4 linked regions of the Yarrowia lipolytica genome follow. The protein of the gene in region 1 purifies or fractionates together with the protein of each later gene. This does not show direct contact. Links are inferred from orthologs where the notes say so. Each region holds a gene or a part of one and is shown on either strand. Other genes may lie near its edges. The genes, in order: YALI1_C05813g, YALI1_E32816g, YALI1_D11722g and YALI1_A05254g.

Region 1 (6,812 bases):
GAATATCCTGGGAAAGTAGACGTGGAGGAGAGCAGTGGGAGAGACTGGGAAATGTGCAATTGATTTGAAAGGAGCATAATAACTGTTTACTTTTTGCTTACAGACATTCCAGTAGATACCTTCTCCACCAATAGGTGTTTTAAGAGCAATAGATGGTTCTTCTCTTGCACAGCACCCTTCTCAGCAATAGAGATACTCCTTAAATCTCTTCATGCGCCACAGTTTTTCATTGCGTGATGGAAGAGCTAAGGAATGGAGAGATATATATATTGAATGGATGGCGAGATCAGAGAAGATGAACAACTATGGACGCCGAAAAACTACCCACACCTCTGTCAGGCTCAGAGAACCCTAGTCTCAAGTCGCAACGAGACCTTGACACAACTTCTCAGAAGTCAGGGACTCTTATCGAAACCAACAGTTTCAAAAAGCTCCGACGAAACACAACACTAGCCATTTCCGGACAGCTGCAAATGTTCTACGTGGCCCATCTGGTTGCACGTGACGTTATTGGGCCTGCTCAGGGAGGAAAGCTTCAGGAGTTCAACCACCTGTCCGATACCCAATTTGAGTGGACTGAGGCTGCCCTGTACTTTCCCTATGCAACTTTGGCAGTTCCTCTGGCATTTTTGTTTCTCAGAGTCTCGCCTAGAGTGTTTATTGGTGTTGAAATGTTCTGTTGGGGTCTGTGCATTGTTCTTCTGGGTCTCTGTACCAATTATGCAGGGCTGATTTGTGATAGAGCAGTAATGGGAGCATGTATGAGCTTTGCTCTGCCTGCTCTTCTCCACATGATTTATGAACACCATGGCCGATACGAGGCTCACTTTGTGGTCGGTTGTGTCTGGGGTGGAAGTTGGTTCATGGTCCCCCTGTTCACTATGCTGGCCATCGCGATTCGTCTCATCAATGCAGGCAAACCCGGATGGTCTTGGGACTTTTTTATAGCCGGCCTATGTTCAGTAGTGTTTGCTCCGGTGGTCTGGTACATGCTCCCTGAGAACTTTTACTCTCCAAAATGGATATCGAAGTACGGAGAGCAGGCATTCAACGTCTTCAAGACACTTACTGAAGAAGATTACGGAGGAGGAAACCCAATTGAACCGACCGAGACACCTCTAGAAGGTCTGATTTCCGCTGCAAAAGATCCCTTGGTTTGGTTTATCTCCATCCTTGGCTTCTTTACATACTCCTGTTTGGTGTCATGCTATGCACAGGTTCAAAGTGCGACTTTTGAAGAGTTGGAGTATACCGCAGCCTTGGGACAGTTGATCATATGGACTATTCTCGTGTTTGGTGTCATTTGGTCAAGTTTTCAGGGGTATTTGGTTGCCCAGAAAAAAGTTTTGTCCCCGTTTCTGCTCATGAATTATCTCTTCTGCATCATTGGATGGGCACTTATTCTGTGCAAGCCTTCAGAACACAACTGGTGGATCAAATTCGGAGGGGGCTGGTTCACGATTCCTAATGCAACTGCTGCCTTTGCTTCTCTTTGTGGATGGCTGGGGAGTAATGTTCAGGGCAGAAACAAGCGACTCATGTCCTTCGCCATTTTCTCGTCTGTGAGCTGCTGGTATGGAGTACTGGTCCTGAGAGTCTTCACCTCAACAGATGGTCCACTCTTCAAACGGGGATGTTGGATCAACATGGGGTTCATGATCGCTTCGGTATTTGGTACTCTGGGTATTGTCTTCTTTCTGAAACGACGACGCATCAGTGGAACAAATCATGCGACCATCAGTGAGACCCAGAAGGAGTTTGTGTATATGCTGTAAAGAAGTATTCGAGCATTTTATTTATCCAGGAGTAACGGCTAATGATCTGATAATAGTACAGTATGTACTGTAGATATATACGTAGTAAGTTCGCACTTCGGTGTTGAATTCATATCACACGCAACACACTGAAACTCGTTACAACTCACTCCAACCATATCTACGCCCTATTCCTGGCTATCCTATAATACATGCATGCAATAAACTATCTACCAGTACGGTCCAACGTGTCCTACTCCTTCTTGGTTCGCTTGGCCTTGGCTCGAGCTCGCTCCTTGTCCAGGTTCTTCTTTCGTTCAGTGGAAGACAGGTATCGGAACTTCTTCTTGGTCTTCTTGACCAGCTTCTTGACCTTGGGCTCAGCCATGCCGGAGTAGACAGCGGCCAGACCAGCCTTGTCCAAGCTTTCCTTCAAGACCTCGTCAGCCTTGGACATGTCCACATATGTGTTGTTCTGGTCCTCATCATCGGAATCAAGGGACACGGCCTCAATGGTCACCGTGGTTTTCTTTCCCTGACCGTCCACGTACTTCTTCTTTTGCTTCTTGAGCACTCCGGGCTTATCGATACCCTCCCAGTCGGAGAAGTCGTCTTCATCAGTGCTAGACGACTTTTTCGACTTCTTTAAAGTCTTCTCTTCGTCCTCCTCTTCGTCCTCCTCTTCATCCTCAGACTCGTCGCCAGAATCAGAATCCTTCTCGTCGTCAGTGCTGAAATAGCCCGATCGAGCTCTCTCGATATCCTTCATGGCCTTCTGCATTCGAGCTCGCTCCTTTTCCTGGTCACCTTTTCTTTCGTCTCGCAATTTTTTCCGCTCGGCGATCCGGTCCAGCCGCGCCTGCTCCTTGGCCTTCTCTTGCGCCTTTTCCTTTCGTTGCAGCTTTCGCTTTCGGAAGCCCGTCAGGTACTCCTTCCGGTTGGCGGCGTCGTAGGAGACCTCATCCACGCCAAACTGGCTAGTTTTTTTCTTGGCGTATGACCGGTCGCCCTGCGTCAAGATCTGTCTGTTGGTGGCGGCCATTTTGGGGAGTGTCTTGGGGTATATAGGGGTCAGGCCAAAACTCGAAAATGAGGTGAACGCTTAAATGAAAAATATCAGTGGAGGTTTAGACCTGCATGAGACTCGAACTCTGTTATGAGGAAGGCACTACTTGTAGACGGGGTGTATGAAATGAAAAGAAGAATGAGGAAGCGGAAGTGGAAGCCGGGACATTCTGAGCACTTTGGACCATGGATTGAAGATCCGGGCCGAGTTTCGAACCGATCAGTGATGCATAACAGCTTCAAATACGAACCCTGAGTGTGATAGAGCGACATGTTACAATTGTATGGGCAGTGGCGTGAGTTCGATTCACTCTACTGGCACGATATTGTAGGGAGGTAAGTTCAGGCTGGCTGACCACTGAAATATGACATGACTAAGCTTTGATGGAGACCGAGAAGAAAGGAACTGGATAAGTAATCCCACTCACAGTACAGTATCAACTAATTATATCACATGATCACATCAATATGTACCCACCCCTATACACGTGTAAAAAGAACTGTACACTCGTACAAGTACAAGACAGGATTGTACTGGTACTTTCGCAGCTCATTCAAATCAGCAAACTCAAATCCTCTATCTAACATCTACTTTTCAGACACCGAAGCCTTCCTCCACCACCATGAACGCCATTGATGGAACGTCCCGCCAGCTCAAGGACACGGAGGATCAGACTCTGGACGACACGCCGTCGTTGTTGTCGATCATCATTGACGCCCATGTGCCGTCGTGGGAAGAAATCAAGTCGCAAATATCCATCTCGGAGGCTGTGGCTTCCATTCTCGTCTTCATCAACGCCCACTTGGCTCTGCACAACTCCAACAGCGTTAATGTGATTGGATACAACGCCAGTGGTGCTCGAATTTTGTATCCTCCTAAAAGCGGCGTTGAATCGACTAGATCAAAGGAGAGAGAAGAGAGATCGGAGAGTGTAAGCGATGGAGAACAGGCACCCAGCAAGAAGGACCACTCCATGTACAGACAATTCAAGACGGTGGACGAGGTTGTGCAGACGGAGCTGTGGAACATGCTGAACCACACCAACTACGTGGAGGAGGAGAAACAACACAACTCGGCCATCTCCGGAGCACTGAGTCTAGCTCTAGGGTTCATAAACAAACATGTGTTTGTGGACGAGTCGAGAATGCGAGCAAGGATCCTGCTGCTCACCGTCGGACACAAAAACGAAACCATCCAATACATCCCTACTATGAACTGCATTTTCGCCGCCCAAAAGCTCAAGATCCCCGTCGATGTGTGCAAACTGGGTCCTGGATCCGACCAGGTCTTTCTGCAACAAGCATGCGACTCGACACACGGCATCTACATGGATATCAGTGAAAAGAACTCCAAAACACCCAAGGGTTTGGTTCAGTATCTGCTATCGGGCTTTATCTCAGACCCCAGTTTACGACCCCATATTGTGCTGCCCACCCAGTCCAATGTGGACTTTCGAGCAGCATGTTTCCTGACTAAACAGGTGGTGGATATTGGCTATGTCTGCTCTGTCTGTCTGTGTATCATGAGCCAGATTCCCAGCAACAGAAGATGTCCTACATGCGATACTACCTACTCTGAGAAGACTTTGGCTGGTTTGGGTCGAAAACCTCTCAAGAAGAAGAAAAAGAAGGTCGTTAAGCCATAGTTGCTATTAGACCGATCCCTAACATGAACCAGTGCGGTTCATATAGCATAGATGTAAACATAATGCAATGTATTTGTATAACCCTTGATGAATGGTTAGTGTATGTGGCCAGAATCGGCAGTTGAATGTGTATACATGTAAAGTTATTGGCGCTGTGTCGATCTCGTCGTCTCTACAGCACTGCTTGCGATATCCCCCTCAGACGTGCCCATTGTGAGTTTGGAAACCAAAAACTCACAACCACCCGTCTAGCCCTGAGTTGCTCATCCTCGACTCATCACTGCTTCAAAAGCGAAACCTCACCCTCCTTCAGTCCTTTTGTCACCAGTCCAAACCTGAAGTTCTTCGGATACCCATGCTTGTCAACCAGATGCATCCTCCTCTTCCTGTACTCTGCAAACCGTTTATCACAGCCCTCCTCAAAACATGCAAGATATTTGTCGCCGCGGTCACGTGATATCGCTACGAACGGGTCGTGTTCTTCGTCCAGATGCAGATTCAGAAATTTTTCGCTCGGAAACCTGGCCTGACAAGTGGTGCATGTCCAAGTATGGCTGGTTGAGTAATGACTTTCGAAGGCCTCCAATGACGCAAAAGAGATTGGATCGGGGTGCAGCGAGCAGGTATAAGTGGTTGGATAGGTATTTGGAGTTGGTGCAAAATCTCTGCAGGTATCTTCGAGGTCTTCATCTCGGCTTCTTTTCATGATGACGACTGAGTGTAGTTGTAATGGTAGAGTTCAGTTCCTGAGTTAATTCTGATGTAGAGGACAGCCAGGATAGGAATGGTAGTTGGTCGAGTAATTGTTCACAAATAGAAAGGGGATTACCTGACGAGATCATGGGGACATTTCGGTTACTTTTGAATGTCGATTTTCTCGATATCTTCGCTAATTCCCTATGAGCGTCGACTCTAATTTATGCATCATCACCAATGAGGAGAAGCATGATCCAGTCAGCATTTGAAGAGACCACTGATGAGCGCACTACTTCGTTGTCAAAACGATCTCACCAACTGGAGTTGTAAATCTGACATGTTAAGAGCCCCCTCCAAACACGTGCAAATTCCAGCCCGCTTTATATACAAGGGGGCTCCTGCAAAGCGTCTTGGGTCGGGTCCAGGTCTTCAGAGTGGAAAGCACATTTTTGTTAAGACTCATGAAATTTATTTGAGTGATGTTGAAAAAATAACAAAACTTTTTAGATATACCATAACAAATGCATTAACGACTTGCATATCACCTACTGGAAGTCTTTCCAATAACCAGACTCTTCTCTCTAACAGAGAGACTCATCAGGAGAGTCACCGCACCCTAGTGGAGGGTTCGACTGAACACTCCATCCGATTGAAAAAATTCAGCTGAGTGAATCGTCCCTCATAATGGAAACTAGTGGTGTCACTCACGTCCAGGTTTTCGTTCAACAAGTGATAGTTGGAGAGGTGTTGAAGGAAGAGGCTCGACCCTTCCAACAGATGAGCCAACGATGGCAAGTGTGCATTATATGAACCACCGTGTGAACTCATCCGAGTAGTTACAGTCGATTATTTGGAATTATCCTTGATATTGCTATAATGAGTTGAATTGTATGAGAAAAAAAAAGTGCAACAAGGTCATTAATGCATTGTACTTGTACAATACTGTATGTACTGTATGTGCTGTACTTTTACCTTACAGTGACCTCCAGTTAGACAGAAATGGCCATCATATCTGAAACAGTCTCCGAAGTACCATACTTTGTGCTTTTTTTTTTTTTACACATTCTAACTAATTAAGACAATTCACATGTACTCGACTTGTACACAGTATGTACAGGCTACAGAAATGATTGTACTTGAGGTATCGTTTGCTACAGTGTCTATCGCTACTTGTCCCCCAAGCTACCATGGACATTAATATTAAAAGGCCTAGATGCCATCATCTATCGACAAGTAGGCATGAAATTTGAGAGCTTGAGTTGTGGACTTACTCCTGGCAGACAGCCATGACGGATCGGGCGTTCTTGGTGTCGGAGAAACAGGTGGCGTTGCCTCCCTGGGTCTCGAGAATGTAGTCGGGGTCGCCTCGGCACTTGTGGTCCTTGAAGACTCGGATCTCACAGTCGTTGGAGGGGGCAACGTAGACGGAGTTGAATCGCTCGGTCTTGTAGCACTTCTCGGCGGCACCGGTCTTGATGGTGATGGACTTGATTCGGGCACCGTTGCAGTGGTTGGAGTTGGAGAAAATGTCGAACTTGAGGGGGTACTTGGGGTCGATCTTGTGGCCCAGCAGTCGCTTCTCAATGACAGCGGCCTGGGTGAACAGGGCGAAGAAAACAACGACGAGAGCGGCGAGAGTGGCGAACTTGTT
Region 2 (7,274 bases), on another chromosome or scaffold:
CTAAGGCCCAGATGTTTGAGACATAGGACACTGAGACCAGACATTGTGAGACAGTACTAAATAGGTACTCGTGCAAGCACACATGCAAGTTCGAGACGGTACAATGTAGATACTTGTACGAGTACTCATTATGATGACACTCACAAGATGCTAGTATCCAGATCTAGACTGATGCACCCTCCGAAGCCGAATAAACAAGTTGACACTAGTAGCCAAGACTACAATAGTGCATGTAGCATCGTTGGATAGAGAAGAGTTCCTTGGGGAAGTGCTGTATTTATGAGTAAAACTAGGGATCGTATAACCATGACAAAATTACTGAGCAAATATCTCAAATCTGTCACCGACTCTCACTTTTCAAATTTATCGCCTTTAACGAACATGAACCCACATGTTTTTCCACCGAAATGCATCCTAACATACACTAAAACACAATGTCACAAGGACTTTTGCCAGACCTTTGGAAACCGCTCAAACAACTGAAAACATGCTTAACCACGATATTTGGACTCAGATTTTCTCTTTGGTCGACTTTCGCACCGCGCTGAACCTCAGATACTCGTGCAGAGAGCTCTTTCATCTGAGCAACGAACTGTCCGATGCAGTTTGGGCTCTATACCTGAAAGATATCGGGGGAGAGTTCTGTGAGAAGGCCAAAAACAGCGTCATTCGACTCAACAGACCTCTGGTTTTCACCACAGGACCTTTGACCAAGTGCAGTCAGAAGGCAGGTCCTCCTAGTCCGAAGGCTGGGTTCCTCAAACACCTCGTATACATACAAGGAGACGGTAAGATCGGGTATGTGGTGAACTATCGGGAATGGAGTGTTAAAGCGGTGGAAACTGAAGGAGGAACTGATACTACGTCCTGGTACTGTTTCTCTGAATTCAACAAGGAGTTTGAGTCCATCGCCCTAGAAGAAAACAGCGTGGTGTGGCAGAAACGACAGGGACCAGATTTGAGAGTCCAGATACCTATGAAATACCAAAACACAAGACACAAGCATCTCTTTAGAGCCTCGAATCCAAACCAGACCTTTGTCTATCTCCATAGATACTGGGAAGACTCAGAGGAAACAGACAAACAAGACTTTCTTAGTGACATACTGTTTGTGAACTGGAAGGAGAGGAGAATGAACTTGTTGGAAGGATGTATAACTATGGCTTCCGCCAACAGTGTCAATTGCGTCCTTATAAATGGACTGCTATTCTTCAAGGGACCTAACTACACTCTTCAAGTGAAGAACATGCTTACTGGAGAACATCATCAGGTGAGTCCCAATGGGGTGGAAATCGGTTACCATGATGATAGATACGTGTGCTACAACACTCTGGAAACAACACATGTGATAGATACACTCACTCTGTTAATCTACCCTCTGACTAATGTGCTATTCGACTTTCGCAGTGGAATTCAGCATATTGAAGGCCAGTTTATAAGCTGGTTGCACCCTGTAGTTGGTTCAGGCACCTTAAATCTCAAACCAGGCCAAGTCATGAACCTCAGTGACGTGTGACCGGGGTTAAGTACATTCACATCAACCTACATACAAGTATACTGCATACACCTTAACGTCTATATCAATAATACATTAAATACATACTTAACCAATATGTTTGTCTTGGCCAGTCGTTTGTGGGCTTGGAAGATAATCGCTTATTTGATGTTAACGACCTTAACATCGAAAGTAAGCTGGGAGTTGGGGGGGATACCGGGCAGCTTCTGCTTACCGTAGGCCATTCCAGGGGGGATAATGATTCGTCGCTCACCCTTGACCTTCATACCCTGGACACCAATGTCCCATCCTCGGATGACCTCGCCCTTACCGACAGAGAAGTAGAAAGGCTTACCCTTGGAGTTGGAGTCAAAGACCTTACCGTTGGCGAGCTTGCCAACGTATCGGACACCGACCTTGGAGCCGACCTTGGCGGAAGGACCCTCACCGACGGTTCGGTCCTCAATCTTGACACCACCCTCAAGCTGTCGGGTGACAAGCTTGGGCTTGGGCTCGGAGGGAGTGGGGCCCTGCTCGAGGTTCTTGGTGAAGGCAACCTTGGCCTTCTTGGCGGCCTTCTCCTGCTTCTTCTCCTCGGCGGCTCGCTTGAGGATCTTCTTAGGCTCGACAACGGGCTCTTCCTCCTCATCCTCATCGTCCTCATCGTCCTCGTCGTCCTGCTCCATGAGCTCGACAAGTCGCTCGTCACCGTTGATGACCTCATCCTCATCGGGAGAGAGATCGTACTCGCCTTCGTCGAGCTCGTCCTCATCATCCTCGTCGTCCTCACCGAGAGCAAGGAGCTCATCCTCGTCCTCCATGTCGTAGGGGTGCTCAATGTAGTTACCGGAGAGGTGGATGGCGTAGGAGCCAGTGACCTCGAACATGATCTGCTCACCGGGGGTGATAACGAGATCAAGAGTCTGCTGGTATCCAAACTTGGGGGAGAGAGTGCAGACAACAAAGTCCTCAATCTCACCCTCGTCGTCGTCGTCCTCATCGTCCTCCTCGAACTCCATCTCGTCGTCCTCGTCGTCATCCTCATCGTCGTCTCCTCCCTCAACCTCATCGAGACCGTCCTCGTTGGCGGCGATCAGCTTCTTGATCTGAGCCATGTCCTCAGCAGAGACTTCGTCATCCTCATCGTCGTCATCCTCGTCCTCGTCATCCTCGTCGTCCTCATCGTCGAAGTTGTCGGCAGGCTTAAGGATTCGGAGAGTGGCGGGCTCCTCCTCATCACCCTCAATTCGGGCGGGATCAATGGCAGCCATGGTGATTCGCACAGAAACAGGGAAGTCCTGCTCAATGGGGGCCACGGGAATTCCGGGGAACACGGCCAGGGTGTAGGAGGCCAGGGGAAGGCAGTTGTTGGCGTTGTTAGACATGGTTGTTGTGTGTGATAGATACAAAAGTGCAGACCCAAGTATTTAAAATGGGCAAATTTTTGGAATAAGGTTGCATATGCACTAAGAGCTTAACGGGAGTGCTGTACATTTGGCTGGAGCTCGTGGAAGACGGTGAAACCGTTATTGTGGCAATGGTGGGATCTATCGAGGTAATTGGTAGGACACATGCACCAACATACGTGTATATGACATGTAGAACCGTCCACTGCTGTTAGGCGATATGTCGTCTTTCGCAGCCCATCAAGGCACTCTCAAACCCAATCCATGGAAAATAAACGTGGGACTATTTGGACTTGGGACTTGGTGCTTGCAATCGTTGTTGGTTGTGTCGTCACGTAACATTTATAGCAACTTAGGGACATCTGGCAGAGAAGGCTGCTTGGTCCAGTAGTGTGGTAGCCTTGAATTGGTCATGTGAGATTGTGATTGGTCTGCATTGGTCGCCCCCATCTCGAGCAATGGCTTTTTTCGTTCCCATGGAACTCTTTGGAACAGCAACACCATACACATTATTCATGTAAGGCGTGCAGGATAAGGTGGCGGCGAGGTGAGGCAGAGATGGGAATGGATATTTGTCACATGTATAGGGGTTGGACTATGGCGGGTCACTATAGAATGTGTAACTGTACTTCTTCTCAGTCCATATAGCCATTTTTGGTCTTGTTACTCTTTTTTCCATCTCATTTCACCCCCAATACTTGCTGCTTTGTTGGCAGGCACCACACGGACATTGGGCGGCTGCTTTAAGTGAAACACCAACTGAGCCTTAACTAAAGACGACGGTTTTTTCACAAATCGTGGCCCACCAAAACTGGCTCCATGGACTGTATATAAAGCTGCACAGTGAAAAAAACAAAAAACGCACTCCACATAGACGATGCACTGATGACGTCGTACTGTAGATGAGGAGATACATGTTGACATGTTGTAGCAGAAGATGTGGTAGAGGTCCAGTTGGTGGCAAACACCCAGGTGGCGACTCAATTAATGCCATGGTGACAGAGGGGCTGTAATTGGTGTTCATTCTGGTGAGATACATTCCGCAGTGTAGCCACCAGAAGCTACGGGTCATGATAGGCGGTTGTACATTTGTAGGAAGAGTGTCCAAGTTGAGAGAGAGTGGTATCGCGAATGGACACCTACCGTACATGCTGTGTGAACAGCAACTGGCACCAATATGTCTGAGAGGTAAAGACGAGGGGAGCTATCTTAAGTCATCTACCAGGTCAGAGGAAACTTGCGAGTTTAGAAGGTCATTGTTTTATCAAGCCTAGTCCAGTATGACAGTTGTCTAAAAGTAGCATTTACAGTAACAAGGTCTGGACAGGTTGGTAATACAAAAAAAAGTGCAAAGAACACCAGTTTCCAATACTTCGACTCTTACTACTCGTGCCAGAAGAGCCATCATTGTTCTACTTGTAGGTAACTACAAGCAACATCCTCCCACACCCCAGAGCCACTAATGGATGCCCGCTTCACAACGGAACAACAGCGACCAGAGATGCATGGCAGTAGCAGTCTGAACAGCATGGAATGTATTTACAGAGAGAGACCGCAGCAACAAGCTACAAGTACAATGGTTCTTCACAGAAGACCGTTTGTCAAGTGAGTGATTACGTACAAGTGGCTTCCATGGTCTGAGTCGAACTCGGGACGTAAATATCGGTGAGTACATGTAAACACAGGTTCTAATACAGCACATCACCGCTAGTCAGCGCTGTTCAGCACAACGCCATCACCACAGGCAAGCATTTTGTGGAACAATTTATAAAATGCGGTTTACAAGTAAGAGCTACAGATACCAGTGCCTTTTTTTGGTTCTACGTGTGCACGCAGTCGTATATATACGCTCCTACTTTTGACTCCCACTTGTGGCTACGAGTACAAATAGTCGCTTCGCGCCTACTTGTAAGTAAAATTCAAATTGCATTGCTATACAGCTTTTGACAGACGACGGCTTCACCACCGTCCACCATTTTCCACCCCCATGTTCCATTTTGTGTTTTTATAATTTAAAACTTGAGCAGGTGGGGCTTGTCACCAGACTTGAGAGAGAACTGGGAAGCCAGGTACTGCTTGAGAAGAGGAGTCTTCTTGATCTCGGCAATGAGAGCAGCATCGACGTCCTTCTGGTCGGCGACTCGCTCGGCCTTGAGCTCCTTCTGCTTGCCCTCGGCGAAGAACTGCTTCTCGGCCTTCTTGTCGGCGGAAGATCGAGCGAAGTAGGCAGGGGTGAACTTGTCAGCCTTGACACCGGAGACATCGACCTTAGTGGAGGTGGCAATGACGTATCGGGCGTTGACTCGTCGGAGAGGGACACCGTTGACCTTGAAGGGACCGGTCACAAGGAGAGTGCCATCCTCAAGAGACTTGAGGAGAACAACTCGCTTGCCTCGGAATCGGCCGGCAAGGAGAATGAGTACGGCACCGGGAACAAGAGAAGGTCGCAGCTTGGACTTGTTCTGGACGGTGGGGATCTTGACGTGAGTGGGCTCAGCGACGTACCACTTGGGGGCCTTCTCAGTGGGGACGGTTCGGCTACCGCCGTTCTTGGCTCCTCCGATCTGCTTGGACATTTTTGATGTTTAGGGTGTTGAGGTGAGTGGAAAATGAGAGCGGTGAAAATCCACTATACCTGACGGCGGCCGATGCTCCGGAGCTGCATGAAAAAAGAGTGTACATCTGGGAATGGGAATGTGTGACTGCCTTTTGGCTTAATTGGGAAATTCACGTGACAGTTGGGAGGAAACAGAGCCAAAGTCACACCCTAACCCAGGGTTGGGAGGTACGAGAGGTTGCCTGTTTGGGACAGACCACTCAGATGAGGAAACAGTCCTAACCCTATTTAACCGAACAGGCACGGTTTGATTAGTAACGATTAGGGGATATACAGTGCTCTTTTCGCTTTTCCTGAGTGTCTTTTTGGAGCTCAAATGGCCTTCTCACAGCTGCTACTAAATTAAAGTTCACCAATCTCAGGAGTTAGAGTGGTTATGCAGCGTGATAGAGACCCTTCTGTGGGACACGATGCGCCATGCGACATAACGTGAGCTGCAGTTGGTGTTGCGGAGTACGCGGTTGGTTGCTGTGGCTCGGGAGGGCGTTGGGACGTCACGTGTATCAATATATGGTTGATATTGCAGTACGAGTACAAGTAGTCACCTGTAAAATGTCTATTAGGGCTGAGTGGTTATTAGTTAGAATTGGTTGAGTAACTAGCTAACATTAGTTGGATTTTACTTGTGCATTAGCGTGATTCTGTATTGTACTGTTTTTTTTTCTCCTTCTTTTTACAGTACATGAAATCCGTTCTTCTGTAACAGTAAGGAAAGAAGTTACTCATACTGTACTCATACAGTAGGGTTAGTTGCTGTCCAAGAACACGCGAGTATCCTCAGATGCTACTGTACATGTTGTATAGGAACTCCTTATGGGCACTGTCTAGGCTACACAACCATTCGAATCTATGCATATGCCACCATCGAGATCTACAGTACAAATACCGTACACTAATGGGTAAGGGAAGGCACTCCACACCCGAAGCCGACTGCTCGTAGTTGTACTGATACTCGCACTGGAACTAATGCAGAAAAAAATAATATATACCGCTTCTGTTTAAAACAATGGGTAGGGTTTGCCCGTTGCCGTTGGGTGACGGAGATCTCTCTGATGGTGATATACTAAGAAAAGCAGCCCAGCCTTGTCGCGCGGTTATTGAGACACAGCGCGTCTTTTGGGTCGGCGTACTGTCGCCGAAACCAAATGGGATTGGCTAGTATCTGGAGCAGATATCGTTCTTGGCGTAGGTTGTGAGAGTGTCAAGCGGCTGATTGATAAGGGTGTAATATTATAGGTGACATGTGAATGATATGTTGACACAATTACAATAAGCACCGAATGAACATGTACTTGTAATACAAGTACTTCACTTGTACCGGCACTTGTACACCTAAAAATGTACTGCATGAACATCACCATCGTTTGGGGGGTACACAAGGGGTTCGGATAGGTCCGTCAGCAATCTTCTGGAAGACAACTGCTTGAAACATGCAAGGTCAATCCTAACTCCCTGGCCACGTGGACTATAGCGGGTGAGTCGTATCGTCATTCTTAGGGCCGGAGACGGGCCTGTGTTTATGAGCCAGCCAAACTCTGAATCCTTCGGTCTTCGCCGTATGAGCCAAACGGGCAACTTTGAGTTTTTCCACCCGAAGATAGTGTACTGGTGAACTGTGTCATCAAACTGAAAATTGCTCGGGGGAGGCTCAAGCAATGAGGGAGTGACGTGTGTAACGACAACAGACCATGGGTTATGTATGACTAACTGCTCAGACCTGTTTTTTTCAGTCCTACTAAGACTGTTCCGGTAGTAG
Region 3 (8,596 bases), on another chromosome or scaffold:
TCCAACAACATGTACCAGTGGCTATCTGCAACGAACCGGAGGAGTCTTGCGCAGTTAGGATCCCGCAGTCCCGACCCTCCGACCAGGCTGATTCCTGGTCTTCCTCAACATGATTCTATCGACTTCAACAGCTACGGACTAAAGTCCACCTCGGAGACCTGCTCGGTTATCTGTTCAACCGTGTAACTCTTTCAGAGGAGAGCACCATCTCGACTACCTGTTCAACTACTCCACATGGCTCGTTTGGCAATACATACAATTGTATGTACTGTACATGAAGGCTTCAATTCCAGTACCTCTATAATACTGCAGGAGTACCTAGGAGTACACTGGAGACTTCAGGTCAAGTATATACTCGTACGGCACTTGTACTACTGGAATCGTAGCTACTTTTACTGGAATCGTAGCTACTTTTACTGGAATCGCAGTGACTTTTACTGGTCCCGTCGCTACTTGTATTGTAACCGCAGCTAGTCTCGAGCTATGCTGAACCGTCTGTGATTATCACCAGCTTTTCAGTCGTATATGATATTGGACCACAAGTATGGTATGGTATCTAGTCCAACCCCTCAAGAGTCTTACCAATAATGGTCCGCGTAAAGGATTGATTTACCGCCTCGCCATCTGTTCTTCCAGTCAATTAGGTCAACTAGTTTGGAACTAGTCTGGATCTACAGCAAGGTGCTAATTCAGACAACAAGAACACTCATTTCCGTCGTTTACTTCCAGAAAATGACATATATATACCCGTAGACCGTCACCGGTTATACCCCAGAGATCGCCATACCCCAAGGAACGTCATACCCCAAGGGAGATCTGTATAAAAGACGAAACATCTACCCTTTCTTGTAGAATTTGGTATAACTATGTTCACAGGACGCTGTTATACAAGCCAATGTGTTTTTACGACCAGGTACAAGCTCTGTAGATGTAACGAGTAAGGAAATTAGAACATTGTTATTCTGAAAACAAGAGGACCCAGACGGCAACTTTGGATACTTATGATCCGCAGCACACTCTCAATCTACTCTACAAGAGCAAGACATGTCTGGAGACTTCAAATACCTGTCGTTTAGACAATGAATCTTGATACTCGGCTGTTTCAAAGGCCCACTATTGTTATATTGCTGATGAGACTTACCAGGTGTCTGTGCATGACTATTTCAGAGTCAGCATAGGAATCCGTGATGGACAAGTCTGCTCATAGATATGTAGAGGCGACCTATATTTATGTAGCGCTGTAATTGCACAAGTAATATACCGGTACTTGAACAGGTAGATACTGTGCTCACACGTCTTGCTTTATCCGATTGAACTTGACCCAGACATGGCCATTCAAGGTCTGATACAGGAAGGAGAATTGTCGATTGTATGTCCGGTGATTGAACTGAATGCTCAGGAAAGACAAAACATGCGATTATATTAGTACACACAGTACCCGCATTAGTACCGGTAGAATTACTTGTTTTACTTATAAAAAAGCCATTTACGACAGTAATTAGACTGGATTTCTTCTAAAATATCGTCATTATGTTTACACCTACTGACACTCTCGTATTTGACTGACTATCTTTCAACTTCTATATCTCCGGTCTACTTACCCACCAAACAGTCTGGTAGCGTAATAAACCACTACAACACACAGAAACTGTACAAAGCCTTCTCTGAATCCCACGGGACATGCTTCAGGAACGCTTCATACTCCGTCCAGGGGTATCGTGTCTTTGGGCATCATCTGGCCCAACACCAACAACGTCAATTGAGCTTCCTGAAACGACTCATCGAAGATCTGAATCCTAGAAACGTTTTAGATACTCAATTGAAGCGAGAGAGTTCGATTATGCCGGGCTCTCATTGAGCGACTTTGGCACTTTCAACGGAGTCTTCAAAACCCCAAAGTGCACAACACGTCTCAAACAGCACTTGTTGATACACAGTTGTTAGGTGCCCGAATAAACCCGACGAGAGGAAACACATATCTGAGAATATATACCAATACAGCACAGCAGCAGTACTCTTTCGAGTCAGCCCAAATCTCCTCCATTTCCTCCAGAAACTCAAAATTAATTAACGTTGGATTTATTGACAATTTATTCGTCTCGACTGCGAATTAGCCGTGTAAATTAAAAATCCAGAGTTATGCACCATCATGCACGCTTAAAACTCTAACAAAAGCTTATTTGACTCGATTTTTTTCTGCTAAACTCAATTTACTGACTACCTGAGAAGTACGAGTACGAGTGAGTTGAAATCGATATGCAATGAAAAAGAGGCCATCTTACAGTAACAAACTGACATCGTCCCTGTCTGTGAACGACTTGAGTCGAATTTGAGCCGAATTTGAGCTGAGACCTCTCTCGCCACATCTTGTCTTCATCGTCTTCATCTTCGTCTTCACCTACCGGATAACTTGATCTTCTCCAATAGCTTCTAGTATACCAACAAAATGACATTGTGGAGGAGATGTCGAGGTACTGTTTACAGAGTTGAATAGCCAGTCCTCTCTGGACACGTGATTCCTCCCGACACTTGATTAAACCGGAATGAGCTCCAGAGTCAGTTTGAGACAGCCTTGCCGCGGAGATCTGCCTAGTCGACCTACCGCGTGGAACGGCCTGGATGATCATTGTCGATATACAGTACCGCGGAAAACTGCCTGATTCACTACTGTATGCTCTGTCGGAACTGGTCGTTGATATGGCCAGAAAACAACACTCCGGCCACCCACGGAACCATGCCAGAACGAGCTCGGTATAGGAGGGAAGGATTGGAGACAAGACGTGAATTCTCTCTCTTGTAATTGTTCGTGGGTCTAAGAATGAACATCTAGATGAACGCCTCTCAGCGCGGCTGTTTAAGACACACGCTAGAAAGGAGCCACTGGTAGAGTAAAACTCAAGCTGAGACGCGCTTTGGTTTCATTCTCGTACGAGTACAACCAACAATTGTACAAGTAGTTCTTCCTAGCACTGAGTAATTCTTCCTAGAGCGTCTCCTAGTGTGATTTTCCTTCTGGTTAGAATGTCTTTATAGGTGCTCCAATATGATCCAGTCCTACTCATTCAGGCTCAACTAAAGCTTAAGTAATTTTAGGGTCCCAGTTTCCACAAAAATGGCAATAAAATCATATTTTGTATGGAGAATATGGGAAATAATATAATTATTTTCATCAATATTCAAATTCCATACAATCTGAACCTTTCCCCATCTTTCTACCACCCCTGGAACACCATATTTGCACCCCCAGCCGAGTTTTCCTTAACAAGGTTTAACTAATCACCAGTCTCAGTCAGTGGCAAATACAAAGTCCATACCCGAGGATTATTGTCATGAACAACATTGCAACCAAGTCAGCTTCCAAAATCATCCCCCTCAAATGAATGAAATATACCGGAGGGTAGGATTTCGCCCCTTGTCCCCTTTCCAACTAATCCCAAGTAAATTACTCAACGGCCCGTCTATGCTTTGTGTTACCCTACCGAACCTTGAGGTTAAAAAATCGGACAGGCTGCATGAGCCTTCTAAAATTATTTTTCAGCTAACCATACAACCAGACAACCATGGGTAAAATTCAAAAGAAACACGGAAAAGGTCGATTGGATCACTACTATCGATTGGCCAAGGAGAAGGGCTACCGAGCGCGATCGTCGTTCAAAATCATCCAGATCAACCAGAAGTACGGCAAGTTTTTAGAAAAGTCCAAGGTGGTGATTGATCTGTGTGCTGCTCCTGGCTCGTGGTGTCAGGTGGCGTCGCAGCTCTGTCCCGTTAACTCACTCATCATCGGCTGTGATATTGTTCCCATCAAGCCGCTTCCTAACGTCATCACTTTCCAGTCAGATATCACCACTGACCACTGCCGACAGCAGCTTCGACAATACATGAAAACGTGGAAGGCGGACACAGTCATGCACGATGGTGCGCCCAACGTGGGTATGGCGTGGGCCCAGGATGCCTTCACGCAGTCCGAGCTGGTTCTGCAATCGCTCAAGCTGGCGGTGGAGTTCCTCAACAAGGGCGGAACCTTTGTCACCAAGGTGTTCCGATCCAAAGATTACAACAACCTCATGTGGGTGTTCCAGCAGTTTTTCGAGAAGGTGGAGGCCACCAAACCGCCCTCTTCGCGAAACGTGTCCGCCGAGATTTTCGTCGTCTGTCTTAAGTTCAAGGCTCCCAAGAAAATCGACCCCCGACTGCTGGACGCCAAGTACGTGTTCGAGGAGGTGTCTCAGGGCAACAACAACAACGAGGCCAAGGTGTTCAACCCCGAGGTCAAGCGACGAAAGCGAGAGGGTTACGAGGAGGGCGAGTACCTGCAACACAAGCGTCTGTCCATTCTGGACTTTATCACAGACTCTACTCCCATTGACAATCTGGGAGAGACCAACGAGATGACGTGGACCCCCAGATCCATCAAGGAGGGAGAGGTTGACGAGGAGGAAGAGAAGGAGAAGGATAAGGAGGCTCGAGACGAGCGGGGAAACGTCCAGTATGTGCTTGACGACAAGGTTTACTCGGACGAAGACGCTCTCAAGATGGTGTCCAAGCTGCCCCAGACCACCCCAGAGCTGCTCGAGTGTCTCAAGGATCTCAAGGTGCTAGGCCGAAAGGAGTTCCGGGCCATTCTCAAGTGGCGACTCAGCGCACGTGACCTTCTGCAGATTGACAAGCCCGAGGCCGGAGTGGAGGTTGAGGAGGAGGAGCTGGACGAGGACCAGCTGATTGACAAGGAGCTGTCTGAGCTTGGCGAGCGAGAAAAGGCCCGTAAGAAGCGGGAAAGACGACGCCGAAACGAAATGAAACAGCGAGAAATCCAGCGAATGCAGATGAACATGACCACCCCCACAGAGCTCGGTATCGAGGCTGCCAAAATGGAGTCACTGTTCAACCTGAAACAGGCGGAGCGAACCGGCAAGCTGAGCGAGCTGCAGAAGGGTAAGCGAAGCCATGTGAGCGAGACAGGCGACGAGCACGTGACTCTGGAAGAGGCCGAGCGGGTCGACTACGGCTCCGACGACGAGGCCAACGGTCTGGAGGATGAGCTCGAGTCCATGTACACCGAGTATCTGGAGAACAAGGCTGCTCGAACTGCCAAGAGTGTGGTTCAGCGAAAGAAAGCCAATGTTGAGACCGAGGAGTGGTTTGGTATTTCCGACAAGAAGGATGGTGACGAGTCTGACGGCGAAATGTCTGCTGACGATGTTGACATGGCCACCATTGACGATGGCGAAGACGAGGACGACGGCAAGACTGCCCGAACTCTCAACAACGGCAACATGTTCTTTTCCAACCCGATTTTCGACAATCTGGTGAACGCCGCCGTGGCCAAGACCGAGGCCAAACCCAAGGCTCTGGACCTGCTGGAGCCCGGAGCCAAGGACCTGATTGAGCTGGAGAAGGCCAAGAAGCGCAAGTACGCCAAGAAGAACGGTCTCGAATACTCCGACAGTGAAGACGAGGAGGACGATATCGTCATGGAGACCCAGAAGCAGGACGATTCTGACATTGAGTACGTGCATGGCGAGTCTGACTCCGACGACGAGCCCAACATTGATCTGGTGACCGACCAGGCCATGACCATGGCCCACCAGTTGGCCACCGGCCAGACCAACAAACACAAGCTCCAGGACGATGGCTACAACCGGTACTCGTTCCGAGACCTGGACGGCCTGCCCCAGTGGTTCCAGGACGACGAAAACAAACATAACAAGCTCAACAAGCCCATCACCAAGGAGGCTGTGGAGGCGCTTAAGCAGAAGATGAAGACTCTCAACGCCCGGCCCATCAAGAAGGTGTTGGAGGCCAAGGGCCGAAAGAAGATGCGAGCTCTCCGACGACTGGAGCAGATGAAGAAGAAGTCCGAGCTGATCAACGAAGATGGCGCGCGATCGGAGAAGGAGAAGGCCGATGACATTTCCAAGCTCATGCGAAAGCTCGCCAAGCCCCAGAAGTCCAAGAAGAAGACCGTCACCGTCGTCTACGCCGGAGGAAAGAACAAGGGTATTGCTGGCCGACCTAGAGGAGTCACAGGAAAGTATAAGATGGTTGATGGAACCATGAAGAAGGAGCAGCGTGCTATTCGACGAATTAAGAAGAAGATGGGCAAGAAATAGTCATATGGATAGAATTAATGGATGGTATTGTATTAGAATAGTGAGAGAGTGGATGTGATTGTTGGTGTTCAGTCAGTTGGACTGTATCTTTAGTTGAAATAGTTTTTTGGATCTACTTAGCATGAAAAGTCCACTGGGGGGCTCATTTCTGGTGTTCCTAACTTACTAGAGAAGAAAAGAGTGTGTCCTAGGATCACAGGGTACCTCTACTAAGTAGAATCAATCAACAGTTCTCCTTACTGATCCAGTCTCTTACTGGATGCGATCCACTACTCACCATATCAATCACCACTCACATCCGTAATCATGTATCTATTCATATTTACTACGAGGTGGCTCGCACTAGTTCTGCTCTCCCCCAGCCAGCGCAATGACTCCGCTGTTCTTCTCCACATCCTCGTCGGGCACAAAGAAGGCTCCTCCCAGGTAAATGGCTGGCTCCTCAATGTTGTTATGCTCGTAAGACAGCACACCGACTCCTCCTGCCTCGAGAATCAGAGCCGGGTTGATGGTGATGTCTCCGTTGACCCATCGCAGAGCAAAGACTCGCAGGATGTGGCCGTGTGCGAACACCATGACGTCGCAATGCTCCTTGCCCTCGTCGAGCGCCTTCTTGTGGATCACCCGGATCTCCTTGATGAGCTCGTCCACTCGCTTCTGCACCTGTTGGGGCGACTCTCCGTCCTCGCAGCCGTCGGACCAAATGTTCCACTTGTGGCCGTCCTTGTCGATGCCTCGCGCGGTTCGGTCGGCCCGGATTTCGGCTGACTTTCGGCCCTCGTACTTGCCGTAGTCCCACTCTCGAATGTCTTCGGTCACGGTCTGGGGGATCTTGGCGAGAGCCTCGGGCTCGTCCTCAAAAAAGAGCTTGAGCGTCTGCTGGGCACGAGATCGGGGCGAAACAAAAATGTGCTCCACGTACGCCGGGTTCACCAGCCGGTTTCGGCCCACCAGCGCCCGTCCCGTCGCTCGCACTCGCTTGACTCCGTTCTCAGTCAATGGCAGATCAGTCACCGACGTGTGTTGGCCGGACTTTGACCATTCGGTCTCGCCGTGTCGTACAAAGATAACTCGAGGGGCCATTGTGTGTGTGTGATGTGTGTGTGTGTGTGTGGGTGGTTTGTTGATGTGTACTTGCGTTTGGAGTGGTTGGAGGAAGAGAAAGAGTGGTCTTGGAGCACTCGTAGCAATCTTGGCAAGTTGCAATACCGCTTGCAGACAAACGCAACGGCTATTTAATGTTCGGTGACGTCAGCTGGGTGGGCCCAAACTAAGTGTGGGGTTCGGGAGGGGCAAAAAAAAAAGCCTTGTCGCGGGGTTCAGAAAGAGGAGAATTTTCGATTCCGTGGAAAACCGCGCGAATTCAGACGGCTTTCTAATGATTCAGACCGATTCGCGTTTCTGGAGCGGAAAAAAACCGCAGTGACTAACAAACCTTAATTAGACGAGTCCATGCATAGACGCAACCAAATGCCGTTGCACACTTTTTTAGGCTCGTCCAGTTATTCCGAGGCGGTTGCAAAGAGTCCTAGGTTTCGACCGAAAATTTGGAGCAAATCGGGCTTCTCCAAGGCAAGGCTTGCAGAAGGCACCAAGAACCTTGTCTACGAGTACAGTATAAGCATAATTGATTACATAACCACATTACACATAGCATGCTGTAGATCCGTGTTCACTCAGTCTTAGATCACGCAGTCTTCACAGTCGTGTTTACTCTGTGATTGCTCAGCCCTATCTCTACAATTGCATCTCAATCTGAGGAGCCTTCTCTCCATTGAGCGCAGTCTCGGCCCTGCCCTTCCATGGTGTGGACAAAAGCCGCTGAAGAAACAGGTCCCGGAATTGTGCAGACTCGGGATTCAGGTCCTGCAGCTCCAACTCGCTGTCAATCAAGCTGGGGAACGACAGAAGCCGCTGCATGCCCCACTCCGTCTCGGACAGCGCCAAAAGAAGCGTGTATCGGGCCATAAACGGCAGGTTTGCGATAGTCGAAGAGCTCTCGAGACCCTGAAGGAGCACAAACGTCGGCTGGTAAGACGACAGATGCACATAGACCTCGAGAGTCTCGACCTTGAGAGGCACGGTCCGCACAGCATCCGAATAATGCTCCTTGATGTATTCAGGGTCCAGATTGGCGAGGAACTCGTAGTCCAGTCCCCGCTCCTTGTCAACAATGAACCTCTTACCCAGCTTGAGCTCCGTGTCGAGTTGCCACACAGTGTCGGGGTCTTCAGTGGAAAGAACACCCGTCAACTGGACCAGAACAGAGTCAATTAAAGAGTTGAGAAGCTCATCGGGTTCAAACAAGGACATTAGATGCTTGACGGTGCCAGAGAGGGTCTGGATGAAAGATGCGTCGGCCCTGAATAGGTTCGTGTAGTACTCGATTAGCACGTACAAGGCCAGAGGATCGTCTCTGTACATGTCAAAGTCGCTGGTATCGTATAAATAGCTGGGGAACCGAAACTCGGACACCGTGTCAA
Region 4 (7,201 bases), on another chromosome or scaffold:
GCGACTATTCGTCTGGTCCAAGTACTCTGAGAAAAGTTGTCGCCTTGACCAATCATTTCACAGACTCTTCTTTCTGAAAAGCCTTACCAACCAGTGTATTGATTCGCTCTTGTAAAATTTGTAAAGCCTCCACCTTGAGCTTCGAACACTCGTTTCACCCAGTGATATCAGCCTGCCTATCAATTTAATGGCGGGCACAGCCTCGATCACGGAGTTGTACTCCCGCCAATGCGTCTCGTACCAAACGCCCTATTTTGGTGGGTCCAAAATACAAAAGGGGCTTGACTTGCGCAGTTCCGTCCGCAGATTGGCAAACAAGATCTCACAGCCCTTGTTGTAGTCGTCGTCGTCCTCTCTGTGAAACATCAGCTCCAAATCGCCCAGGATATACTGAGCCCTTCTGACACGCGCGCTCAGTTGCTCGTCTGCCGGACCAACGTATTCTTTCTCGAGAACGAACAGAACAGTTGCGATTGGTGTGTTCTGCTACACCGGTCTCTTACCAAGGAGCTCTCCGTCTACGGAACCAAGGAGAACCGAATCTCCATTGCCGGGGGCTTCCTCTAGAAGTCTCCAAAAGAGAATAAAGAATATGGGGAGCTTTTGGTTACTTTAGATACAGCACTGTAATTACAGTTGACGACCTCTGACCTGAGTGGAGATGAGATGAAGAACAGTAATCACATATCGTTATATAACATGCTGTACTAGTATGTACAGCAACGGCATACATACACCCACATATCTTTTAACTAGCAACTTGCTCATCTAATTGACATGAATCTGCACTGGCCAAGTTAAGGAACCCAGACACATGCGGTCTCCGAGCCCATCTGCCAGTTTCATCTTGGTCTTTTCAAATTGCAAAGGCTTAAGCGATTCGATATTTACTCCACCCGGCCCTTCAGGCCTGCGACGCAAGGCTCGTCGACAACTTTTGCTCCACATCAGGGCGACGAGAGAAGGACTGAGATCTTGCTTCATCGTCTCCAGCCGCTCATCCAAAAACGCTGGGACTGGGCCAAAGCGGGAGCGGGAATGAAAGTAGGGACCTTCCCACGAAACAATGGGATGGTCGAGACGGAGCGCAGCCTCCGCTGTCACGGTTCCACCGGATGTTCCTGTCATGTACCCGTAGGGAGGCCTACGAATCCCCCTAAGTTTCCTCTTCAGAGTACCGTACTTTGTGGGAGAGGCCTTGGAGGGACTCGTGCCAGGCTTGGCAGGGCTAACATTCTCCTTGGAAGGACTCGACTTGGTCTTGACAGGGGTGGCTTCGACGATACCGGCGCTGTCTGAGTGGCTTGTGCTCGGCCTTTTGTTCTCGCATTTATCACCGCGGTTCATCGTCATCAAAGGCGTGTCTGGGAGATTATCAGGCCATCGGACCCCTTTCGATACCGGGCGGTTATGCTTCTGAGACGGCTGGTCCACAAACGGACTAGGTTGATCAGTAAAGTAGCCCTCGAGGGGCTCCTGGTGCTGTTGGTTGGCAATACTGTGAGCAGTCTGTGGTCTCGACGTTCCGTCCCTTCCATTCGTTCGGGGTCGAGGGGGACCCTTATTTGGGTATCCATGAGCTGATGTTTGACCGCCGTAAGGAGATCCCTGGCCAACACATGGCGAGAAAGCTTGATTGTAGACGTGGTTCGGAGACGGCGACTGGTAGTAGGAGCTGTGAAGAGGCGGCGTCCCGTGGTATGCACTGTGAAGAGGCGACGACTGGTGGTATGAGCCATGACGAGGTGGTGTTGATTGGTAATGATGGTTAGCTTGCAAATGCGGAGGTGGCGTGTGTTGCATAGGGAATGCATGCGAAGGTGGAGTGTGTTGAATTGAATGAAGCAGAGAAGGAGGGGTTCCAGTAGAGGGCGAGTGCATGTTGGGATGCAGTTGCTGTATATGGCCAAGAGGAGCCATATTGAGGTCGTGGGGACTCCTGCGGAACTGTTGGAACTGAGACTCACGGGAGGAAAAGTCCTCCAAGCTGGCCTGTAGTTGTATCGCCTTATCTTTGGTATCCTCCAGCTCCTTGGCAATGGATGTGTTCTGCTCCAGTGTATGGTCCAGTCGGGCCTGCAGGTCATGAACCTCATTTTCCTTACTGGTCAATTGGGATCGCATGGTCTGTATCTCCTTATCCATTTGGGCCAGCTGAGCTTCGGCGTCAGACAAAGCCATCTGAGTCTGGGTGGCGTCGGACTTGACACGGCCCAGGACTTCTGTCAGCTCCTCATCCTTGGATACCAGTTGCGACTGTAGCTTTGCAACATGATTGAGCGCTTCGTCACGTTCTTTTGAGACCATGTTGAACTTGAGCTCTGCAATCTGCTCGCTGGCCTTGAGCTTCTCAATCTCCGCGATCGCTTTGATCTTGTCGTTGTTGGCGTCGCTGAGATGCTGCATGTGTCTTGCGAGATGTTCTTCGTCTGCCAATTTGCGACTCTCAGACATATTCGAACCCGCGGTTTGCAGATCTTTGAGCTGGTCACGAAGAGCATCGACTTCGGACTTGAGATTGTCGCACCGCCTGCGCTCCTCGGCTAAGGCGGCCTTGCCCTTTTGGTAGGACTGCTTGAACGTGGCCCATTTTGAAGCCCACATCTGTCGCTCTTTCTCCAAACCACGCTGCTCACACAGAGTCATGATTGTGGTGATGGTTTGGGTCAGAGACTTCCAGAGTGCGTCGGGGACATCGTGCAGTCTGGCCTTGGCGCCGAGTCGTTTGAACTCCGCAATGGTCGGTTCGAGGATGGAGTAGACATCTTTGAGCTTGCCGTTGATTTCTGCCGTGTCCACTTCATGCGAGATTTTGTGTAACAAGACTGCCAGGTCAGCAAGGACGGTGGTGGCCATGGTATCGGTCCGTCGGTGAGACGGGTGCGTATCGAGCAAGACACGGAAGTCGCTGGTATTACTGCTTTGACAGATGAGACAGTGTCACAGATAGGTCTCAGAGCGGATATCACACCAGGATATCACACCAGGGGTGTCACGGGGAGAAGTCGGTATCAAACGGGGGTATCAGTAGCGATGTATCTCAATGAGGGTATGCTTTGTTAGTGGCGTTAGTAGGCGGCGGTTTTCAATGACGGGAAACCGAAAAGTCGAAAAGAAAAAGAAGGAGAAGAAGAAGAAGTTGAATACCAAGATTCCGAGATTAACTAGTACAGTATACACAAAAGAGGTGAGTTTGTGGTCTGTGTCTCTTATTTCGGATTTAAGGTTTCAATACTACTCAGCCCTAACCCAACAGGAAGACTAACTCTAAAAAATGTGCAGGTTGATGCATTATGGAAGAAAATTCCAAAGGGCAGTTTTCCTAAGCACACGACAACATGAGCAAACAAACGAGCAGAAAAGGAAAGAAGGCGTGGAGAAAGAACATTGATCTGGAGGATCTGAACGCCGGTCTAGACAGCGCTCGAGAAAACGAGCGGCAGTTTGGCTCCAAGAACCTGGAGCAGGCTGGTGATGCTCTCTTCACTGTGGACACAGCTGGAACGTCTGGCGATGTCGAGACTTACCATAGCAAAAAGAAGGAGAAGCGTCTCAAGTCGGACGAGATTCTTGCCCGGCGATCTGCTGTCCCCGGCGTGATTGGCAAAAAGACCAAGAAGGAGAAGAAGATGAGCAAGGAGCAGCTGGATATGCTGTTGAAGAAGGCTGGACGACGAGATGTGGACAACAAGATGACCGAGGCTGCTCTGCAAGCCGACTCTGTCCTGGAGACTCCTGTTTACGACGCATGGGACGAGGCCCCCGCTCCTGTGGTTCCCAAGAAGAAGACCATTACTGCATCCAAGGTGGTCAAGCCCCGATCCGAGTTCCAGGGTTTCCCTCAGAGTATGACCAAGGTCAAGAATGCTGGATCTCGGGTTGCATACATGCCCAAGTCTGCTAAGCCTGAGAACATCATGCGGGCTACTTTTGCTAACGGTGATCACAGAGAGGCCACTTCTCGAACCCGAAGCACTGTGCGACCTTCCACTCTGGACCACAAGCCTCTTGTCTTTGGAGCCACTGACAAGGCTATTGAGGTTCCCCACGAGGGTCGATCTTACAATCCCTCTCTGGAGGCCTGGCAGGCTCTTCTCAAGGAGGAGCTGGCCAAGGAAGAGGCATTGGAGGAGGAACGACTGCAGCTGGAGGCCGACCAAGCCCGTGTCCAGCATCTCATGGACACCATGGAGGACCACGAGGACAAGCAGATGGATTACTCGTCCGAGGAGGAAGAGGAGGAGGCCTCTGATGAGGAACTCGAGGGCGGTAGCGTCGGTCTGTCTATCAACGCGCCTGCCAAGGAGAAGCGAAAGAGCATGGCTAAGCGACGACAGATGCGAGAACACAAGGAAAAGGAACGAATTCGAAAACAAATGAAGATGGAGATGAAGAAGATTCATGAGAAGATGCAACAGCTCGCCAAGCGGTCCGAGAAGTCCGAGCAGGAGAAGCAGGATCTCAAGGATCTCATTGCAGGAGGCGAGGCTGCCGAGAAGGTGCGAACCCGTCGGTACGGCAAATACGAAATTCTGGAGCCCACTCTCGATGTCAAGCTCTCAGGCGAGCTCACAGACTCTCTTCGACGACTCAAGCCCGAGGGATCGTTGATGCGAGACCGGTTCCGATCGCTGCAGCAGCGAGGAAAGATCGAGGCTCGAAAGCGACACAACCTCAAGCCCCGATACAAGAAGAAGGTGACCGAGAAGTGGTCTTTCAAGGACTTCAAATAGATGCAGATGGGATGGAATTAGTGAAAAGTAATATATTTTGGATTATACAGGATGTCAAGGTGAGATATTGGTATTGCGATACGACTACTGTATGTACAGGTACAGTGGTAATGGGTCTAATCATTTATGCGGAGCGAACGAGTTACTGTAGAGCAGACAATCTACAATTAGGACGGAAGAGATCTTCTACACTTATAAATCTGATTTTAAATAAATGCAATAAATATATAATACAGTAAACATAGTCGTGCAGTCACGATTTTTCGCTCTAAAATCCATACTTTGCTCCACTCTCCTTTTGGGTAAGGCGATTCTGAGAGTATGACGCCTCCAGCTGCTCCTTGTTGTCCTGGGCTTGTCGCAACAGACTGGTGATCTGGTGCTTGCCTCCTCCAATGGCCGTAAGAGGTCGCTTGTACTCGTCAAGCTTTCCTTCGGCCTTGAGTCTTTCCGATTCCTCCGTGAAAGCGTCCACTGAGAACTCGTGGATGTTGTCATTCGCCAGATTCTCAAATTCTCGATCTTTGCTTCGATTCTTGGGCCGAGGCGCTGCATCCAGCGTTTGGGCATGTGTTTTTTCAGAAACTACAATAATCGGTGGCTCAGCCACTTGTGTAACATTGTCCCCAATAGCCTGTGGCTTGATGATCTCGACCTTGGTGTCTTCCCTTACTTCCTTCTCCTGCTGGGCTCGCAAATTAAACAGGTTTCCGAGGCGTTTCGGAGCAGTTTGAGTCTCAGTTGTCGTTGAGTCCGCAGCCGCATCACCAGCAATAGTATCTACAACCGCAGTCTCTACAACCACAGTCTTTCCATCCGCCCCAACCGACTGGCCCTTGGCAGCTCGCTTTTCGGCTCTCAGCCGTTTTCGGACCGAGTTGGGCACCATTGTCTGCTTGTAAGATGCAGCGGTATTCACGGGGGACTCTGTCTGAGCCGGAGTCTTTTCCACCGCAGTTTCCTCTGTGCTAGTCTTGAGCTCTTCCTCTTTCTCAGTCAGCTTTTCAGGAACAGCAGTCGGGGTGTCCGTGGCGGAGCCCGCTCTGTCTGGAGACGCCGCTTTCTTAACGGGCTTGTTTCCCAACGCGCTGAACCGTTTCTTGTGTCGCAGTTGAATTTTTGCCATTGTCGCACTGATTCAGGAATCTTTTCAAAATCTTTTGGCCCATCACCACATATCCAGGAGAGCGCATCCTGTATGCAATGAAGTTACCCTACCTGTTCGCCTTGTCTCCAAACTCAAAATCTCATGAGGTCAAAATCTCACCACCCAAGGGCTCATATCACACACACCCACACATCACAGAAACATGTCTCAGGATCCCCATAACGGAAAGGGCACCTTTGAGGTGCACAAGCAACCCCAGCCCGGTCTCAAAGTGTGAGTATCACGACAATCGAGAGATTGACACGCCATGATATGTGTCGTAATCAGAGACAGGAGGTGGCTGCGACACTCAGGCAGTGTTGGCGGTGGAGGTTGGATTCGGGTGGCTAATGGTGGACGGGAGTGTGAAGAGAAGTTGTGGTTGAAATGGGCTATTTGAAGAGACGTGTTTGGTTGGTATTCCCCAAAGCGACTTGCAATCAAACTACCAATCTCACTCTCTTCAAGACACTACAGCTGCGTGCGACGATCAGAGCCACTGATCTCTCAATGCAACTCTGGGTTCAGTATCTACACGGACATTTTGTGACCAGGACAACACCGTGAATGAGAAATGTGTCTCCTTCATCCTTCTCTTCTCCAGAAAATCTACACGTTGTCTTGCTTGTGACAGACCCGTTTGAACTCTGCATTGCTGTGGCTAGCCACATGCCGCAACCAGCCAATCAATTGCTACAGCAAGCAGCACGTCGGTTTTATCACAACTACACCCTCTAAACTTTCGATGGTATCTTGAAGGACCTACTCCTGACCTCTGACCTCTGACCTCTGACCTCTGACCTCTGACCCCTGACCTTCGACCATGCTCGACCGTTCCATTCTAACACAGTTTCCGAAAGGGCAAGTACATTGACCCCAAGACCTTCCAGATGTCCCCCGCTCTGATTCGGGCCCGACGACCCTTCTTTGTGCGAAACATGCTCGCTCTGGCCGGCCTCACCGGTTTTGTCGCCGGTATCTACGGATACACCATGTACTCTCTGCGTACCGACGACTTTGGCGATGTGCCTATTCCTCCTCTTGATCCCGAAGAGATCAAGAAGCTCCAGAGCAAGTACAGCGACGACTCCAAGGCCTAGGTCTTTTGTATATATGTAAATAGTAAATTATTCTGACTGAGCACTGCGGGACTGACTGACCGTAATCAGGTCAGAAGTGCACCCAATGAGCTGTCTCATTGTGATTGTAGGTACGAGTAGACGACAATATAAGAACTCTACTCGTACCGGCACAACTGCGACCAGATACCATGTCCATCAGTTCTACTACTTGTAGCTGCCTGAAGATATGGTGCATACTG

Evidence for each region.
Region 2: the proteins of YALI1_C05813g (region 1) and YALI1_E32816g purify together in Saccharomyces cerevisiae (affinity purification with mass spectrometry; 3 studies listed by BioGRID). This does not show direct contact. The link is inferred for Yarrowia lipolytica from reciprocal best matches to the Saccharomyces cerevisiae genes RRP17 and FPR3.
Region 3: the proteins of YALI1_C05813g (region 1) and YALI1_D11722g purify together in Saccharomyces cerevisiae (affinity purification with mass spectrometry, with the first as the bait; 3 studies listed by BioGRID). This does not show direct contact. The link is inferred for Yarrowia lipolytica from reciprocal best matches to the Saccharomyces cerevisiae genes RRP17 and SPB1.
Region 4: the proteins of YALI1_C05813g (region 1) and YALI1_A05254g purify together in Saccharomyces cerevisiae (affinity purification with mass spectrometry, with the first as the bait; 3 studies listed by BioGRID). This does not show direct contact. The link is inferred for Yarrowia lipolytica from reciprocal best matches to the Saccharomyces cerevisiae genes RRP17 and NOP53.

The regions. Positions count from the first base shown.
Region 1 is NC_090772.1:578,603-585,414, forward strand, and holds YALI1_C05813g (uncharacterized protein), read right to left. Parts: upstream 2,797-6,812; coding exon 2,008-2,796; downstream 1-2,007. Other genes in the region: YALI1_C05789g (uncharacterized protein), read left to right, coding at 306-1,775; YALI1_C05820g (uncharacterized protein), read left to right, coding at 3,443-4,465; YALI1_C05837g (uncharacterized protein), read right to left, coding at 4,743-5,171; YALI1_C05857g (uncharacterized protein), read right to left, coding at 6,429-6,812. UniProt on the Saccharomyces cerevisiae protein: Essential protein involved in ribosomal RNA processing.
Region 2 is NC_090774.1:3,278,721-3,285,994, forward strand, and holds YALI1_E32816g (uncharacterized protein), read right to left. Parts: upstream 2,881-7,274; coding exon 1,657-2,880; downstream 1-1,656. Other genes in the region: YALI1_E32792g (uncharacterized protein), read left to right, coding at 488-1,516; YALI1_E32842g (60S ribosomal protein eL6), read right to left, coding at 4,914-5,477. UniProt on the Saccharomyces cerevisiae protein: Proline isomerase that belongs to an abundant class of enzymes that catalyze the cis-trans isomerization of X-Pro peptide bonds and can accelerate the refolding of proline-containing polypeptides. Specifically binds nuclear localization sequences.
Region 3 is NC_090773.1:1,167,224-1,175,819, reverse strand, and holds YALI1_D11722g (uncharacterized protein), read left to right. Parts: upstream 1-3,560; coding exon 3,561-6,113; downstream 6,114-8,596. Other genes in the region: YALI1_D11756g (uncharacterized protein), read left to right, coding at 1-97, 145-304; YALI1_D11686g (uncharacterized protein), read right to left, coding at 6,456-7,196; YALI1_D11666g (uncharacterized protein), read right to left, coding at 7,851-8,596. UniProt on the Saccharomyces cerevisiae protein: Required for proper assembly of pre-ribosomal particles during the biogenesis of the 60S ribosomal subunit. Specifically methylates the guanosine in position 2922 of the 25S rRNA at the stage of 27S pre-rRNA maturation.
Region 4 is NC_090770.1:521,604-528,804, reverse strand, and holds YALI1_A05254g (uncharacterized protein), read left to right. Parts: upstream 1-3,338; coding exon 3,339-4,733; downstream 4,734-7,201. Other genes in the region: YALI1_A05284g (uncharacterized protein), read left to right, coding at 229-257, 396-567; YALI1_A05259g (uncharacterized protein), read right to left, coding at 769-2,856; YALI1_A05229g (uncharacterized protein), read right to left, coding at 5,002-5,859; YALI1_A05220g (uncharacterized protein), read left to right, coding at 6,044-6,114, 6,731-6,980. UniProt on the Saccharomyces cerevisiae protein: Late-acting factor in the nuclear maturation of 60S ribosomal subunits, which is required for normal acquisition of export competence. Required for the export of the large subunit.